Linked DNA regions of Xenopus tropicalis. The protein of the gene in region 3 purifies or fractionates together with the protein of the main gene of each other region. This does not show direct contact. Links are inferred from orthologs where the notes say so. Each region holds a gene or a part of one and is shown on either strand. Other genes may lie near its edges.

Region 1 (3,979 bases), on a different chromosome or scaffold from region 3:
CTCCCACTCAGTGTTTCTCCCTTCTCCACCTGTCTCCCTCTCCCACTCAGTGTTTCTCCCTTCTCCACCTGTCTCCCTCTCCCACTCAGTGTTTCTCCCTTCTCCACCTGTCTCCCTCTCCCACTCAGTGTTTCTCCCTTCTCCACCTGTCTCCCACTCAGTGTTTCTCCCTTCTCCACCTGTCTCCCACTCAGTGTTTCTTCCTTCTCCACCTCTGTCTCCCTCTCCCACTCAGTGTTTCTCCCTTCTCCACCTGTCTCCCTCTCCCACTCAGTGTTTCTCCCTTCTCCACTTGTCTCCCTCTCCCACTCAGTGTTTCTTCCTTCTCCACCTCTGTCTCCCTCTCCCACTCAGTGTTTCTTCCTTCTCCACCTCTGTCTCCCTCTCCCACTCAGTGTTTCTTCCTTCTCCACCTCTGTCTCCCTCTCCCACTCAGTGTTTCTTCCTTCTCCACCTGTGTCTCCTTCTCAATTTCTCTTCATTAATATCACTGCCCCATTCATGTCTGCATTTCTCTGCCTCCTTCTTCACCTTTTGGCCTCCCTTTCTGCCTCCTCTTCATCTATCTGTCACCCCTCAATCTCTCTTCCTCCCCCTCTGACTCCCTATCTCTTCGCCTCTTTCCTCTCCATCCCAAAGCTTTCTCCCCTCTGTCACTTCCTCCACATTTCTGATTTTTTTGCTTTTTCCAGTTATTTGCCCATCACTCTCTGCCTCGCTGTCTCCCGTGAACCCCTCTTACATCTCTACAATCTCTCATCTTCTCACTTTCCTCTGCATCTCTCCATACTTATTCCTGCCTACCTTCTCATACCATGTATTCACCCGTCTTCATATCCCCACCTGTATCTGATTTCCATTCTCTACTTATGTATTATGCTTCATATCTATATCTGCCTCCCTGCCCTGCCCATGTATTCCCCTGCATCTCTCCATATCTATATCTGCCCTCCTGCCCCTGTATTCCCCTGCATCTCTCCATATCTATATCTGCCCCCCTGCCCATGTATTCCCCTGCATCTCTCCATATCTATATCTGCCTCCCTGCCCCTGTATTCCCCTGCATCTCTCCATATCTATATCTGCCCCCCTGCCCCTGTATTCCCCTGCATCTCTCCATATCTATATCTGCCTCCCTGCCCCTGTATTCCCCTGCATCTCTCCATATCTATATCTGCCCCCCTGCCCCTGTATTCCCCTGCATCTCTCCATATCTATATCTGCCCCCCTGCCCATGTATTCCCCTGCATCTCTCCATATCTATATCTGCCCCCTTGCCCCTGTATTCCCCTGCATCTCTCCATATCTATATCTGCCCCCCTGCCCATGTATTCCCCTGCATCTCTCCATATCTATATCTGCCTCCCTGCCCATGTATATTCCCCCTGCATCTCTCCATATCTATATCTGCCCCCCTGCCCATGTATTCCCCTGCATCTCTCCATATCTATATCTGCCCCCCTGCCCCTGTATTCCCCTGCATCTCTCCATATCTATATCTGCCCCCCTGCCCATGTATTCCCCTGCATCTCTCCATATCTATATCTGCCTCCCTGCCCATGTATATTCCCCTGCATCTCTCCATATCTATATCTGCCCCCTTGCCCATGTATTCCCCTGCATCTCTCCATATCTATATCTGCCCCCCTGCCCATGTATTCCCCTGCATCTCTCCATATCTATATCTGCCCCCCTTGCCCATGTATTCCCCTGCAGCCCCCCTGCCCATGTATTCCCCTGCATCTCTCCATATCTATATCTGCCCCCCTGCCCATGTATTCCCCTGCATCTCTCCATATCTGCCCCCCTGCCCATATATTCCCCTGCATCTCTCCATATCTATATCTGCCCCCCTGCCCATGTATTCCCCTGCATCTCTCCATATCTATATCTGCCCCCCTGCCCATGTATTCCCCTGCATGTCTCAATATGCCCATGTATACCTCTGCCTCCCTCTCACACTACATCTCAATGTGCAGCTGCCGGAGGGCTGCAGGGAGTTGAACAGCCGGAGGGCTGCAGGGAGTTGAACAGCCGGAGGGCTGCAGGGAGTTGAACAGCCGGAGGGCTGCAGGGAGTTGAACAGCCGGGGGGCTGCAGGGAGTTGAACAGCCGGAGGGCTGCAGGGAGTTGAACAGCCGGAGGGCTGCAGGGAGTTGAACAGCCGGAGGGCTGCAGGGAGTTGAACAGCCGGAGGGCTGCAGGGAGTTGAACAGCCGGAGGGCTGCAGGGAGTTGAACAGCCGGAGGGCTGCAGGGAGTTGAACAGCCGGAGGGCTGCAGGGAGTTGAACAGCCGGAGGGCTGCAGGGAGTTGAACAGCCGGAGGGCTGCAGGGAGTTGAACAGCCGGAGGGCTGCAGGGAGTTGAACAGCCGGAGGGCTGCAGGGAGATGAACAGCCGGAGGGCTGCAGGGAGATGATGTATATATATATTCACTAGATTATTCCACATTATAATATGCCCCTTATTTTATCTCTGTGACTATAAGACGGACAGGCGAGTGAGTGTCCCACAGAGAGCCTACCTTCCCTGCTGCCGCCCCTAGTATCAGCCTATATAGCGCCTCCCTCACAGCCCGGGCTCAGCAGACTCCCTGCTACCTCAGTTATGACTCTGTCTCTCTGCCCCCCTCACTCCCATTCTGCATTAGCTACTAATTCCCCTGCCTATTTCATTCTATCAATTCCTATATTTGCTCCCATCTTACCCTCGCCGCCATCTTCCTCCCAGAAATCCCGGATGTGACCAACCTCCCTTCACACATGCGCAAATCGCGCAGTCAAGACTTTCGTCACTACAGGAAAGCCAAATGACAGGTCCCGCCCCCCAATAGTCTGCGGAAATCCTATGGGCGCGGAGAGCTGCTAATCACATAAAGCGCTTCTTTCATTGGCTCAGTGATCCGTGAGCCCGACTGTAGTACCTAAAGATATTTGCCAGTTCTTGAAGGGGTGGAGTCTATGGCGAAAGGGAAGGCCATTGGTCAGCGGCCGGTCGTCTTGGAGATGGGACGCTGCGGAGAGTGAAAAGGTTAAAATAATGTCCGGGGAGATCGGATACCGGAGACCCGGAACCGAGGTGCTACTGTCGGTAAGTCTGTCAGACCAATCAGCTCTTTGCTTACAGCTCATTCAATTAGATTGAGTACGCATGACATATACTTACACACACAGAAATATAATGTAATATATAATAATATATATAATTATGACTGCTTCCTTTGTTTGTCATTTCAGATAAAAAGAAGAAAACCACAAATCTGCCTCTGGTAAAAGTCACCCCCCCCCCCCCCCCCCCCCCCACTTACTCCTCTTCCTCCTCCTTAAAGCAATACTGCTATGGGGAAAATGGGACCAAAACCCCATCAATTAATAGAGCTTCTCCGGCAGAATCCTGCATTGTAATCTGTTTTTCCCATGGGGCTAGCCATATTCTTCATTTCCCAGGGTGCCACAGCCATGTGACCTGTGCTCTGATAAACTTCAGTCTCACTTTACTGCTGCGCTGCAAGTTGGAGTGATATCCCCCCCCCTCACCCCCAGCAGCTGATCAGCAGAACAATGGGAAGGGAGCAAGATAGCAGCTCCCAGTAGGTATCAGAATAGCACTCAATAGTAAGAAATCCAAGTCCGGCTTGGGACTCCTCCAGTTACATGGGAGTAGGAGAAACAATAGGTTAGCTGAAAGCAGTTCTAATGTGTAGCGCTGGCTGAAAGCTCAGACTCAGGCACAATGCACTGAGATGGCGCCTACACACCAATATTACAGCTACAAATACATTTGTTGGTTCCAGAATAAAAGTTTAGAGGGAATTATTTGATGTAACAGTTTTATTTAGAAATGAAAAAGTACCCAATAAAAATCATTACAGTATCCCTTTAATCAGCTTCATCCTCACACCCCCTCCCTGCCCTTACACCCTTCTCAGCCATACACCTCCTTACTGATAGCACCCACACCCTTACACACCCACACCCT
Region 2 (4,255 bases), on a different chromosome or scaffold from region 3:
CTTCAGGATCTGGAGGTTGCAATGTTCGGGGTGAGCCTCCCTTTTTCCTTTGAAACTCCTTCTTTTCTCGTGGTTTTACCCGCAAACGTTTTCCACTAAGCTTTATTTGAGGCTCTTCTAAGGCTGCACACATGCCATCCTTACTCTCAAACTCCACAATTGCATAAAGGCCCTGCAGGGAAACTAAGAGATAAATATAACACAACCAAGATTTTGAATTTTAAATTTTGCATTGCATTTCATTGTGACTGCTCGGGAGCTGTTTGCTAGGTCAGTTATATTGAATTGGCACCCAACATTTTATTTATATGGATGTGCACTCTCTGTCTTATTTACAAGCAAAGTTACAGAAGCCACCTGATTAACAGACATGTAAAGAACTATGCAAGGCCAACATCTGCTACATAAGGGGTCATTTTAGGAAACCCCTGGGCACAATTTCAAGAGCACTAAAGGGTGCATGAGTGGCCCTTTGTGCTCATCTACAGAGCACTTGCACCCAGGTGTGTTTTGCACTTTGCATGGAGCAACGGATCATAAGTCCAGTACTCCATGCAAACAGCAGTGCCAGAAGGTGATTCCCATTCTTGGCCTTACTGCCTCCTGCCACTCTGTACCTTGCATGTCTATGGGCAGATAGGAGGGATGCCTACGCGCCTCCACCCACCATTCACTAACACTTCGCTGAATAATGCAGACAGTGGTTTATTAGTGAAGAAAGCCACAGTTTCTGTGCTCCAATTTCACAATGCCCCATGCAGTGGGCAAAGTGTGCCCTTTTTTCCCTTTGCACACTGCGTGGGGCACTGTAAATGAGCCCTATTGTTTCAAGAATAAATTAAAAAGTTTCTTCAAATAAAATAATAGCTCTGAAGGGCATAGCTATGAAATAGTGTAACAAAATGAGAAGTTATACTAGGTAATATATTATAAGACTAGGTACTAGGAAGTCATTTCCTACCCGATCCTTATCCATCACTATGTTCCTGACAGGAGAAATTTTCTGAAAGACATCCCTCAGCTCCTCCTCAGATGTCTCACGTGGGAAATTACTGACATACACACTGCGCTCCTGCTGCTGATTGCGTTTGTCTCGCTCCTCACATAGCCGCACATGACGCCGGCCACTCAAGTGATCTGTTAAGCTTGGACCTAGAGAAATGAAGTCTCAGCTATTTAGGCTGCTGAAAAACTTTGCACAGCACAACTTTTAGCACAAACAGCAGTGAAAAAGGAGAGTAAGAACGAATGCCATTTGTTAGGGTGACCTTTACCAAACAGTAGCAGCAGATTATGGAATTTAAAGGGTTAGTTCAGCACTAATCACTAATTCTGAACAACTTTTAAATTGGTCTTTATTTTTTAATAGAGTTTTCTGCCTCTTTTCAGTTTACAATTGGGTCACTGAGTCCCGGCAGCCAAAAATCTGTTGCTCTGTGAGGGCTACAATTTTATTATTATTAGTTTTATTAATTATCATTCTGTTCAGTTCCTCTCCTAATCATATTCCAGTCTCTCATTTAAAACACTGCCTGGCTGCTAAGGTAATTTAGACTCAATCAGATATCTGTTGACGTTACATACTGGAGAGCTGCTGAACAAAAAGCAAAATAACCACAAAAAACACCACAAATAAAAACATAAAGACCAATTGCAAATTGTCTCAGGATGTGACGCTCTACATCAGACTAAAAGTTCATTTAAAGCAACTAACCCTTTCCAAGCAGGCTGTACTCTATCATGTCAGAGAGAAGCCACATGTGAAGTGGGTGATTAAAATCTTACAGATGTTATTCTGGTTATAATTGGAACATAATTCTACCACTTCAGATTGAGTTGCCTGCTTATTGGCCCCGAACTGTCCAGAGTGATAGTCTAGCCCACAAATATCTGATCAAGAGGGGCAAGTTTTTTGTTTTATATCCCTGTTGCATGCCCAGCTCAGCATTCAGAACCAGGACAGAAATGTAGGGGACCAGAGCCACCCTGGTCCCCAGGTCTAACACCTATAAAGGGCACCCATGTGGCCTGCTCATCTGCCTGTGGCCAAATAACATTAGCAAGTAGGCGACATGCACTGGGAGTTTACTACATAGGGACAATACACCCAAAGACTATGCCAGTGTGTGCCCTAAATGCCTTTCATTATATTTTGCTTAAAGTAGCCGTGTGTAGCCTGCATCTGTGTGAGGCGTGTGCCTGTAGCTGTGCAAAGCTTGGGTGCAAAGTCAGCCACATGTAAGTATGTTGCCCTTCCTTATTTACTGTTCTAAGCGCTGATAAATCAGCCCACCCATTCCTAACTAGTATTTTAGAGAATATAGTATAACTTTTGCGATATTATGTACACAAACACATTGTGTTCATGTGCCTAGGGCTTGATACACGTTTATACTTGTTTGCATGGAGGGGTATAAAGACCTTACTTTCACTGTAGGAAGGAGCAGAATGCTAAACAAAGCGCTAGTGTGGACTTTAAGCAGCGACTTTTGCAGCAGCTAAGCTACTACAGCGCCTGGGATGAGGATAAGCCAGCCAGGGCGCCACAGGTTGGCAATAGGAAAGTTTGCTAGGGAGAGAGGGAAAGGCGTATCCGAGCTACTATCTGCAATAACAGGAAAACCCACGGTTTGGGATGTTGACCCCGCACAGGAGGCACCGGAACCCTCCCCGCACAACGGACTGAACATCTTGCGGCAGCGGAACCACCGAAGAACTACTCTCCTCAGCCTCCATTTCACCATTAACCCGACACTTCCGGCGCAAAGCCAGTACGTCACAAATGGAAAGGAACGTTCCAGCGCGGGTAGGCGGGAGTTTCACCACTGAATATTCATACGCGCCTTCCTAATACATATTAATGAGTGGAAGAGACAAAGGAAGTGGTAGGTGAGGGGGCAGCGTGTGGTGGGGCCATAGGGCCTGGGGGAAGGGAGGGTTCTACCTATGTACTAATGCAACTCTAGCACATGTTATATATCCTTGCACCTAGCTATCTGGGGCTTCATTTCTCAAGATTCTATTTACAAGTCGATGTTACTGCTGCAGTTTTTTAGGAGCCTAATTGTCTATACTGACACGTACATTTAGGGCTGCCAACATGGGGTTGCTCCAGTCAGAGGCGCAATTCTGTGGGGGCGGGGTTTGGGTGAATCATGGGCGGGGCATTGTCATAATGGGTTGATCATGGAGTGGGGCCCAGGTAACTGGCGGGGTTGCCAACTGGCCATGAATGAGTGATGCTTGATGTCAATGCTATTAATAGGGAAGAAAGATAAATATATAAGAAGGCCCCATGGGGCTTGGTCTGAGTAGTATGGGGGCACCACAATTGCTGATGGCAATGTCTGGTTCTTTATAGTGTGATAGGAAAATAACACTGCCAACCCTTAAATATAATATAAGGCACACCTCCCAACATTTGAAAAACAAAAAGAGGGACAAGAAGATTTGGCGTGCGCAGCGTGGCAAATTTTTTTGACCACGCCCACTTTTGTGATCACGCCGCAATTAACACACCCCATTTTGTTCTTAAAATACTCCTTTTATATAGTTGAAATGGTGGGATCAGATGCAAATGTGCTATACCCTCATACTGTACTACCTAGGGAAAACAATATAGCAACTCCTACATATAAAATACAAATATAGAGAGAAGGCAGTCAGTTATGTATGTATGTATAACTTTATAAATAAAGCGCCACAAGGGTACGCAGTGCTGTACAATCTTACAATATACACAATTACACACAGGGAGGACAAATGTTATAATAAATATAAGTGAGATATAACTATCTACCAGTTTTGCCCCCCCACACAGGGGAGACAGTACCCCCCATACACAGTACCCCCCATACACAGTGCCCCCATACACAGAGCCCCCCAAACACAGTGCCCCCCAAACACAGTGCCCCTATACACAGAGCACCCCAAACACAGTGCCCCCAATACACAGTGCCCCCCCATACACAGTGCCCCCCCATACACAGAGCCCCCCCATACACAGTGCCCCCCAAACACAAAGCCCTCCAAACACAGAGCCCCCCATACACAGTGCCCCCCAATACACAGAGCCCCCCCATACACAGTGCCCCCATACACAGTGCCCCCCCATACACAGAGCCCCTCATACACAGAGCCCCTCATACACAGTGCCCCCCAATACACAGAGCCCCCCAATACACAGAGCCCCCCCATACACAGTGCCCCCCCCCATACACAGTGCCCCCCCATACACAGTGCCCCCCAATACACA
Region 3 (3,942 bases):
GATACACAGTAAGGCAAGTAAAGCAGGCAGACTGAATCACAGCTACTGAGCTAAATGAGCAAGCCACTAGTAGACACAATAGACAATAATTTTATGCCTAATAAAAGAAAACTTAATTCTAAGCAACTTTCCAATAGCAATTTATTAAAAATTAGTAGTGCTTTAAAAGTTCATTGTAAATGTAATTGCTATTGAAAGCAGCATTTGCTGAACTCCTGGTTGTTACTTTTTAAACAATGTTGTAAATGCCAGTCTCCTCCAGTAAGACAGGTCTGTCAATCTGCTGACTTGTGGTTACATTGTTTCAAACGCCAGAGCCACCAGGGCAGAGAATAGAAAAGGACAGACAAACACTGCTGTTAATAGCAGTTATATATACAAATAACTCAAAACCAATTACAAATATGTAATTAATGTATATTGCAAAGTTGCTTAGAATTATGTTTTCTTTTAGTAGGCAAAAAATATTTTTTGGAGTTGACATGTCCTTTAAAAACCAGATTGCTGACACTATTTTAACTATAGCACCATCATACTTTCCCCCAGGCCCCCCACCCAAACCACATAAGTTACAACTGCTGGTGACTCCTGTAGCACATAGCGAAGTGCAGAGTTGTGTACTGGTGTTAGATGCTAACATCTTGGCCTGCATCATTTTGTTTCCTGTTTAAATCTTTGTGACATGCACTCAGTAGTCAAAGACTGCAAGTCAGCACAAATCATAGGGATTCAAACAAAGAATGCAACTGACATGGTACTTGATATGGGATGAATACTTAAATTCTGGCAGCTGTCAGTGATGTGGTTCAAAAGGGGCCCTGAGAAACCATGCTAATTTGTAAACTGATGGAATAAGTTACTTTAGGTTTCTAAATTATTTATAAGTAATGTTTACATGGTATGAAGATTCTTAAAGTATATTCTTTAGATCATAGAAGGTGCAAATTACTTTTAGTCTGGTACCACATTAGTTCAAAATGACTTGATCAGATGCAACCCTAGCAAAATACTGTTGTAGATTTCCATGTGAGTACATATATAGTATTTGGTAATGGTAAAGACCTATACTGCAGTATAAAATTTGATCTAACACTATTAGCTGAATCACACCTCCAGTATGTGACCTCAAAAGGAATGCATTTATGAGCAATAATGTGACTAGACCTAAAAATTAATCTTCATCTGAGAAACAGTAATTAAGGAAAAATGTGGATAAGGACTAAATGGGGTAAGTACAGTTCTAAACAGTAACACTGATACATGACATCTATCACAATGCCTGTTACACAGTACACCATCTGTAGCCATATGGCACAGGTTTGTCATCAACAAACTACTAAGGACATCAACTGTTCTACATTTTCAGCATCAGAAACTCAAGATTCCAGGAAGCTAAAAATAAGAATGTGCACAGGGAAAGGGCCTGTTATTTTCAGTTAGCATCACAGTGACCAGCACTGAAGGCAAAGAGCCAGAATCAAATGCAATGATTTGGGGAAATTTATTATAGTCTGAATAAGGTTCATGCCTTTCTTCTCAGGAGTTTTAATTTGATCCCATTAAATAACCTGACCTTCTGGATTTTTGCTACATTTGCTTATTTATAAACGCATTGCAAGCTTTCCTCAGTTGGCTTTCTCAGCTGATGAAATCCACTATTTCCTATGCCAAATCTTGCAGCTATACCAGGGTAACATGCAAAGTTGTCTGAGAAAAATAAGCACTGCATTCATTTTAATGCAAGTCTATGAGAGGAATTTACAAGTTGCTCAAACCTTATCCTCGTTGTTTCCATTGCTAAATAATTGCGGAAAAGATTTTCAGATTTTTTTCTAGTGGTAACCATCATTAAAGCAGAAACAAACTAAACATTTAACAGCCATATGTAGGGGCAGATTTATCCTAGCTCAGTTAAGTTTTCTGGATACCGTTGCTCATTTTTGATTTACATTTTTATAGTCTTGAAAAATTTGTTTCTGTGTGAAGAATATCGTCAATCTTCATTTTTTAAACATGCAATATGCAGAGCGCATAAATGCACACACATGCTTTCGCTGCAGTTTAAAACCATCAAAATGATTTTTTTTTGTAAGTTATTTACAATAACATTTTCTTTTATTATCTAAAACTGTATTTTGGGGGTTCCATGTTATGTGCAATATTTTATCAGTAATATTCAAAACTGAATTAAACAGATAACAGCAATGAAAAGTAGGCCCTCTAGCATATTTTGAAAGGCCAAACATTAGGGGTTGCAAGCAGAGAACAGCCGGGTCTCCCTGGCACAGCGACTGTATGCGAGTGGGCTTGTGGGAGAAGTCATAAGCGTCCCAAGGCCCCTGAACTACACAAGTACAGGACTTGGAGTCCGTGTGGCCAACCGGCCGCAGATGCTTAGGAATGAGGCAGACTGCCCCTAGCGAGCTCTCAGCACATGAGTGACAATGAACAGGTGACAAACCCGGTACTCTGTCCCCACACACTGCGCTGCTGCTGTGCATGATACAGATGTTTTCCCTGTCAAGCTCCTTCGTTACCTTTCCCACTGCCTGGAACCTGCATTTTCCCCTCACACCGTCGCTTAGTAAGTGAGAGCGCGTCCCCTGCCACATCTCCCCGCTGTGCTCGCTCATGCTTACCAGGTGTCTCCTCTTCTGAGAGGGGTTTTCAGCAGGGCTGACACTTCGGATCTCTGAGTCTCCAGATCCACCACTCCGCCCTCCGCCATCTTACTCCACTGACAGCTACGCGCTGCATTCTGGGAGTGACGTCACGTAGGCGAAGTAGGGAAAAAGCGCGTTCCCGGCTGTGTTGTTGGAAGAAGTCGGACAGTGGGTGGGCACAGTGTGAGGTGCTGAATGATGTGCTGCAGACAGTGAAAACCAAGTTATTATAGACCTGGATGATACTCTTCTAGTAATACATTGCCTTGTGTTCTTATATTTTAGATTCATTCGAATACATTACGAAGATAGGGTGAAGAAAGATATGTAGCAAAATTCCCCTTTTCATCAAAAATTTGGTCAGCTCTCCCCCTTTAGTTTAAAACAGTCTTAGATATATGGGATTTGGATTTGCCAATCAGCCAAATATAATTCAGACATTTGAGCTTTAAAGGAACAGTTCAGTGTAGAAATGAAAGTGGGTAGAATAGACTGGGCAAAAAAAGTGTTTTCGACTGCAAAAAGATGTTTTCAATATAGTTAGGCAAAAATGTGATCTATAAAGGCTAGAGTGGGCAGATGTCTAATTAATATGAAACAATGATTTTTTAGTGTGAATGAAATGTATAGCCCACTCCAGATACCTTGTGCTTCCGTTTAAACCAGTGATCCCCAACCAGTGGCTCGGGGGCAACATGTTGCTCACCAACCCCTTGGATGTTGCTCTTAGTGCCCCCAAACCAGGTAGTTATTTTGAATTCCTGACTTGGGGGCAGTTTTGGTTGAATAAAAAGAAGATTTCCTACCAAATAAAGCCTCTTGTAAGCTGATAGTGTGCATAGAGGCTGCCTAATAGCCAATCTTAGCCCTTATTTGGCACCTCCATAAACTTTTATAATGCCTGTGTTGCTCTCCAAGTCTTTTTACATTTGACTGTGGCTCACGCGTAAGAAAGGTTGGGGACCCCTGGTTTAAACAATAATACTTAACTCTGGAGCGCCCTCCTCTGTCCAGACTTCCCAGATGAGGTCTTATGGGATAAAAGAAAAAAAAAATATATATATGTATATGTATATATAGCGTAATACAGTAATATAATATTGATAATCACCCCTCCAAATGTGTTTGTATCCGAAACAAATCACTACCAAATTCACTTCACTTTTCTGTGAAAACACATAAATACAATCCACTGCAAAGTGTTTAACGTTCATGTCTATTTAAATAAGTGAATTTCCGTATTTCACACTCTTCAGTGACTTCCTTTTAGCCTTATCCA
Region 4 (4,200 bases), on a different chromosome or scaffold from region 3:
GGAATGTTACCCTGCATTCTAGTGTACTGCATGTTATTCAATGTTGATGTGATTACACCAATATTTTGGTTTACAGGTTATGAATTTATTAAGCTGCGCTGATTGAAGTGAAACCCCCAAAGTCTCAACTTTGTTCTAAAGTTTATATTCCTTAATAATGTTAATCAGCTAATGGTAAATCAATGTTTATAAAGGTGTGTAAAAATGGCACTGAAACACACAACCATTTTAGGCTGATGGCACACATGGCACTTTTCGGGATTACATGCACCACTATGCACGTTTCCTAGGAGCCGCAGGAGGTGATGCTGTAAAGGCATGACCATTTACAAAGCTGTGTAATAAATTGTATATGTACAGTGGGGTGTAACTTTATGGTATAAAAACTAGTATTATTTTTAAAAAAGCCCCATAAAATCCAGTGGCGAGTGCCACCAATTTCCATACAACATTCTATATTGCTTTGCATGCCAGAAAGTGTTCTGCATTCTTGTTTTACTGATTTCAATATGATAAGCCAGGCCTGACATAATGGGCATTAGCTGGGCAATAAAGAATATACACACATTTATAAATGCCATAAGTAGCACTTTAATAGACAATTTGTGCAATCAGAATGTATAGTGCTAATTTATGCTTTATAGCTATAATGAAGATTTAAAAATACACCATTTATTTCATAACATAAAACAGCTTTATAAATAATTATGCACCAGTGTGTACATTAAAATCTTGTCTTCAAATCATGACTTGCCAAATGGATTTTTTTTCATTGCATAACCAAATGTCACCCCTGGCAACCTAGAGCTTTACAAGACAAAGCAAAGCAATCAGGAGAGATTTGCAGTTGCACCTACAGTACAGTTGAGAGATAGGCAGATGCACCGAGCGGAAAGGAATATGCACACATTGGTAGGATGGACAGAGATACCCAGAGGAAATCAGTAGCCAGGAAAGAAAGACAGGTGCACAGAACAAAGGGATATTAACTGAGGCACATATTGTGGCATCTGTTACTATGCTACATTGCACACATCCAGCAACACTGCGAAAGGCACACAGATGCACATACAGGCTGGGAGCTAATGGCTTACATAATAAACAGGCATCAGGGAACTCCAACATACAGCCATCCTACTGCTGTTGAATTACCCTTCCCAGCAACATCAATATCAAGTGGGCCATAGCAAATTCAGTTCAAAAACAACTGGAGAGCTTCATGGAAAAATCTGTATAGAATACTGGCAATTGATCTCACAAAACCTCAGATGGTAGTAACTGACTGCATAAGAACCACACTCAAAAATGTAGTAAACTGGATGCTGGATGTACTAAAAAAAATAAAGGATTCTGAAATCAAACTTAATATCACCTTAGTTTAATACATAGCTAGTATAAATAAACAAGGATATCTGTAGTCTTTCATTTTATGGCCCATAGGGGGCAGTGTCTCATTTGAGTCTAAGGGTCTTAGAAGGAATAGTACCACAGTTTCAACACATATTAATAATCTTAAATATTTAAATAAATATGGATTTCTCTGGGAAATAGCTTACTGAATATTACCAGGAAAGTAAAATAAAAAGTTATTATAAATACAATACTACTATATCTGCTTGTGTACTGCACTATTTTAATCCCTTTACTTTCAATGCTTCTGGAAAAGTTTAAAATCTACCTTTAATTAATTAAAATTAAATGTTGTTTTTTATTGCTCTGGAAAGGAATCTCTGCTGTTGGTGGCTTTTTGGTGGAAAAGGGGAAGGCAGCCACTGTACCTTAAGCTAGCAGGCAGTAAGGCTATGGGATGGAAAAAGTAGGTTTGATAATAAAGGCATATACTGTACCATAAGCAAACAGGCAATACAGACTATGGGATGGAAAGGGTAGGTTTGATAATAAAGGCATATACTGTACCATAAGCAAACAGGCAGTAAGGCTATGGGATGGAAAGGGTAGGTTTGATAATAAAGGGATACACTGTACCATAAGCAAACAGGCAATACAGGCTATGGGATGGAAAGGGTAGGTTTGATAATAAAGGCATATACTGTACCATAAGCAAACAGGCAATACAGGCTATGGGATGGAAAGGGTAGGTTTGATAAAAAAGGGATACACTGTACCATAAGCAAACAGGCAATACAGGCTATGGGATGGAAAGGGTAGGTTTGATAATAAAGGCATATACTGTACCATAAGCAAACAGGCAATACAGTCTATGGGATGGAAAGGGTGGGTAGGAATGTAGGGGGAGCCACTATACTACAATCACACAGGCAATAAAGACTATACAATGGAAAGGGATGGTACAAAAGGAAGGCAATTAATCCCTGTACTATACATACAAGTCAGTAATAAAGATTATAAAAGCTTAAAAATGAAAAGTTATGGTACAAGGCTGCTACTATGCCAACAACAAGCAGGTTATGGCAGCTTCAGCACTCCAGTTATGCACTTTATGCACAGTTGCCATTTGCTGTTGTAGATAGAAGTGTCCCATTAAAGGTGAGGGGTGATGGAGACCCACTCCAAACAGCAAGGGGCCCATATTGTGGTCCTGGCCAATAGCCCAAGAATCCCTGTGTTATGGCATGGAAGGGCTGATATAAAGGCAGCAACAATAGGCAAAGAGAAAAGACCTTGGAAATGGAGAGGATAGGCAGGGCTGGCAAGGGGGGACTGATAGAGACTGAGGCTGCAGGTACCTGGACGGCAGGAAGATAGAGGTGAGGATGCTGGTAATGCAGAGGGCTGTTGAGTTGCAGGATTCTGTACTATAGCTCGGGTTCTCCCATTCTCGCCTTTGCTCAAGCGTCACCTTCACATACATTTATTAAGCAGCGAGTGCCGGCCCACAAGGCAGCCATTGGCTCGGCACAAACGTGATCGGTACATGCCATCATAGACACGCCCTCATGGCAGGTTGCCATTGGATATGCGGATAGATGGGCGGAGCCATAGCGCCAGGGTACCCCCCCATGCTCTACACCCCCGGCACTGAGAAAAACAACTGTTGGGAGGGGGGTGAAAATTGTGGAGACTGCGATAGGAGAGAAAATGGAACAGATAATAGGGAAGGAAAAGCTAGGAAACCATCAGTTTTGCAGAGGTTCTGGGGAAGCCGAGCCATGTACAGAACGAGGGAAAAGAGGACAGAGCTCTACGGTGAAAATGAGACAGTCCAGACGGACAGGATTCAGGGAGGGGGCATCTACACTAGTCTTCACACGTGTGATTTCTCCTGGCCAGTGCGCAAACTACAGCCTCAGCCTTTCCTACACAGCCTCAGCCTTTCCTTTCTGTCGCGGCTTAAAAAAAATTCTCCCCCGCTGTCAGTTTCTTTTCTGTTCCCTTGTTTCCTTAGTACAGTCCCCCCCCCCCCCCCCCCCCCCAACCTATCGCGGTTTCCCTGTAGCGCTCAGTCCTGTCTGTAGGTGGAAGCAACCATGCGTGAAGCCATTAGGGGGCGCCCATGTTGGTTACTTCCAGACTCTTGTGTTATAACAGGGGGCCATGCCAATCCGTATAATGTGCTTAATGATGTGTATAGCCCAGATAGCGTTATGCACCTCAGCTTCATATCTTTTCAGTTTCACTCCATAAGGAGCAATCCTGGATTTTACTCTTAATTTCCTTACAAATGGGTGGCAAGGAGTTAATGGATTACAGTTTAGTGTTATTGAGATTCAGGTCTCGTCCTCACACAGAAACATATAGTCACTGGGCTCCGTTGAAATACAAGTGTTTAACTCTTGCCTGACAGGTGAACACCAGGTTACAGGGCTCATCAGGGTAATACCCCTTAATCATGTATCAAAGTTTTATCATTTCAAGCACAATATTAAAGTGTAAAGTACATTTTTACACACAGTCTAAAGTGGTCACAAAACAAAAACTGTAGTACCGTGTTAGCCAGTGTCAAAAATAATAATAAAAAAACAACAAAACACAAATACAAGAGTATTGTAGAAATGATACCTATATTGGCTAACAATAAAAATACATTGCAAGCTTTTGGAGCTCTAAGGCCCCTTCATCAGGCAAAATACAAATGAGAACTGAAATGGCACAATATTTATACTGATAGATCAGAGAGAAGTGTTTACAAGCAATAAATTAGGAAGTTACAGATAGATAGAGATAACTTGTGAAGATAGTGAAAGTAATTAAGGTTTATTAGGGTGGGTTGTAAATAGT

What was found.
Region 1: the proteins of usp15 (region 3) and rnf40 purify together in Homo sapiens (affinity purification with mass spectrometry; 4 studies listed by BioGRID and IntAct, with this or other methods). This does not show direct contact. The link is inferred for Xenopus tropicalis from reciprocal best matches to the Homo sapiens genes USP15 and RNF40.
Region 2: the proteins of usp15 (region 3) and tut1 purify together in Homo sapiens (affinity purification with mass spectrometry; 4 studies listed by BioGRID and IntAct, with this or other methods). This does not show direct contact. The link is inferred for Xenopus tropicalis from reciprocal best matches to the Homo sapiens genes USP15 and TUT1.
Region 4: the proteins of usp15 (region 3) and glutamine synthetase purify together in Homo sapiens (affinity purification with mass spectrometry; 3 studies listed by BioGRID, with this or other methods). This does not show direct contact. The link is inferred for Xenopus tropicalis from reciprocal best matches to the Homo sapiens genes USP15 and GLUL.

Annotation. Positions count from the first base shown.
Region 1 is NC_030685.2:13,703,959-13,707,937, forward strand, and holds the start of rnf40 (E3 ubiquitin-protein ligase BRE1B), read right to left. Parts: upstream 2,813-3,979; 5' UTR 2,709-2,812; intron 1-2,708. Other genes in the region: ccdc189 (coiled-coil domain-containing protein 189), read left to right, coding at 3,041-3,091, 3,238-3,269.
Region 2 is NC_030680.2:36,819,955-36,824,209, forward strand, and holds the start of tut1 (speckle targeted PIP5K1A-regulated poly(A) polymerase), read right to left. Parts: upstream 2,813-4,255; 5' UTR 2,737-2,812; coding exon 2,628-2,736; intron 1,153-2,627; coding exon 962-1,152; intron 184-961; exon of another isoform or gene 173-183; coding exon 1-172. UniProt on the Homo sapiens protein: Poly(A) polymerase that creates the 3'-poly(A) tail of specific pre-mRNAs. Localizes to nuclear speckles together with PIP5K1A and mediates polyadenylation of a select set of mRNAs, such as HMOX1.
Region 3 is NC_030679.2:62,759,278-62,763,219, forward strand, and holds the start of usp15 (ubiquitin carboxyl-terminal hydrolase 15), read right to left. Parts: upstream 2,808-3,942; 5' UTR 2,729-2,807; coding exon 2,640-2,728; intron 1-2,639. UniProt on the Homo sapiens protein: Hydrolase that removes conjugated ubiquitin from target proteins and regulates various pathways such as the TGF-beta receptor signaling, NF-kappa-B and RNF41/NRDP1-PRKN pathways.
Region 4 is NC_030680.2:100,273,112-100,277,311, reverse strand, and holds the start of glutamine synthetase, read right to left. Parts: upstream 2,813-4,200; 5' UTR 2,709-2,812; intron 1-2,708. UniProt on the Homo sapiens protein: Glutamine synthetase that catalyzes the ATP-dependent conversion of glutamate and ammonia to glutamine.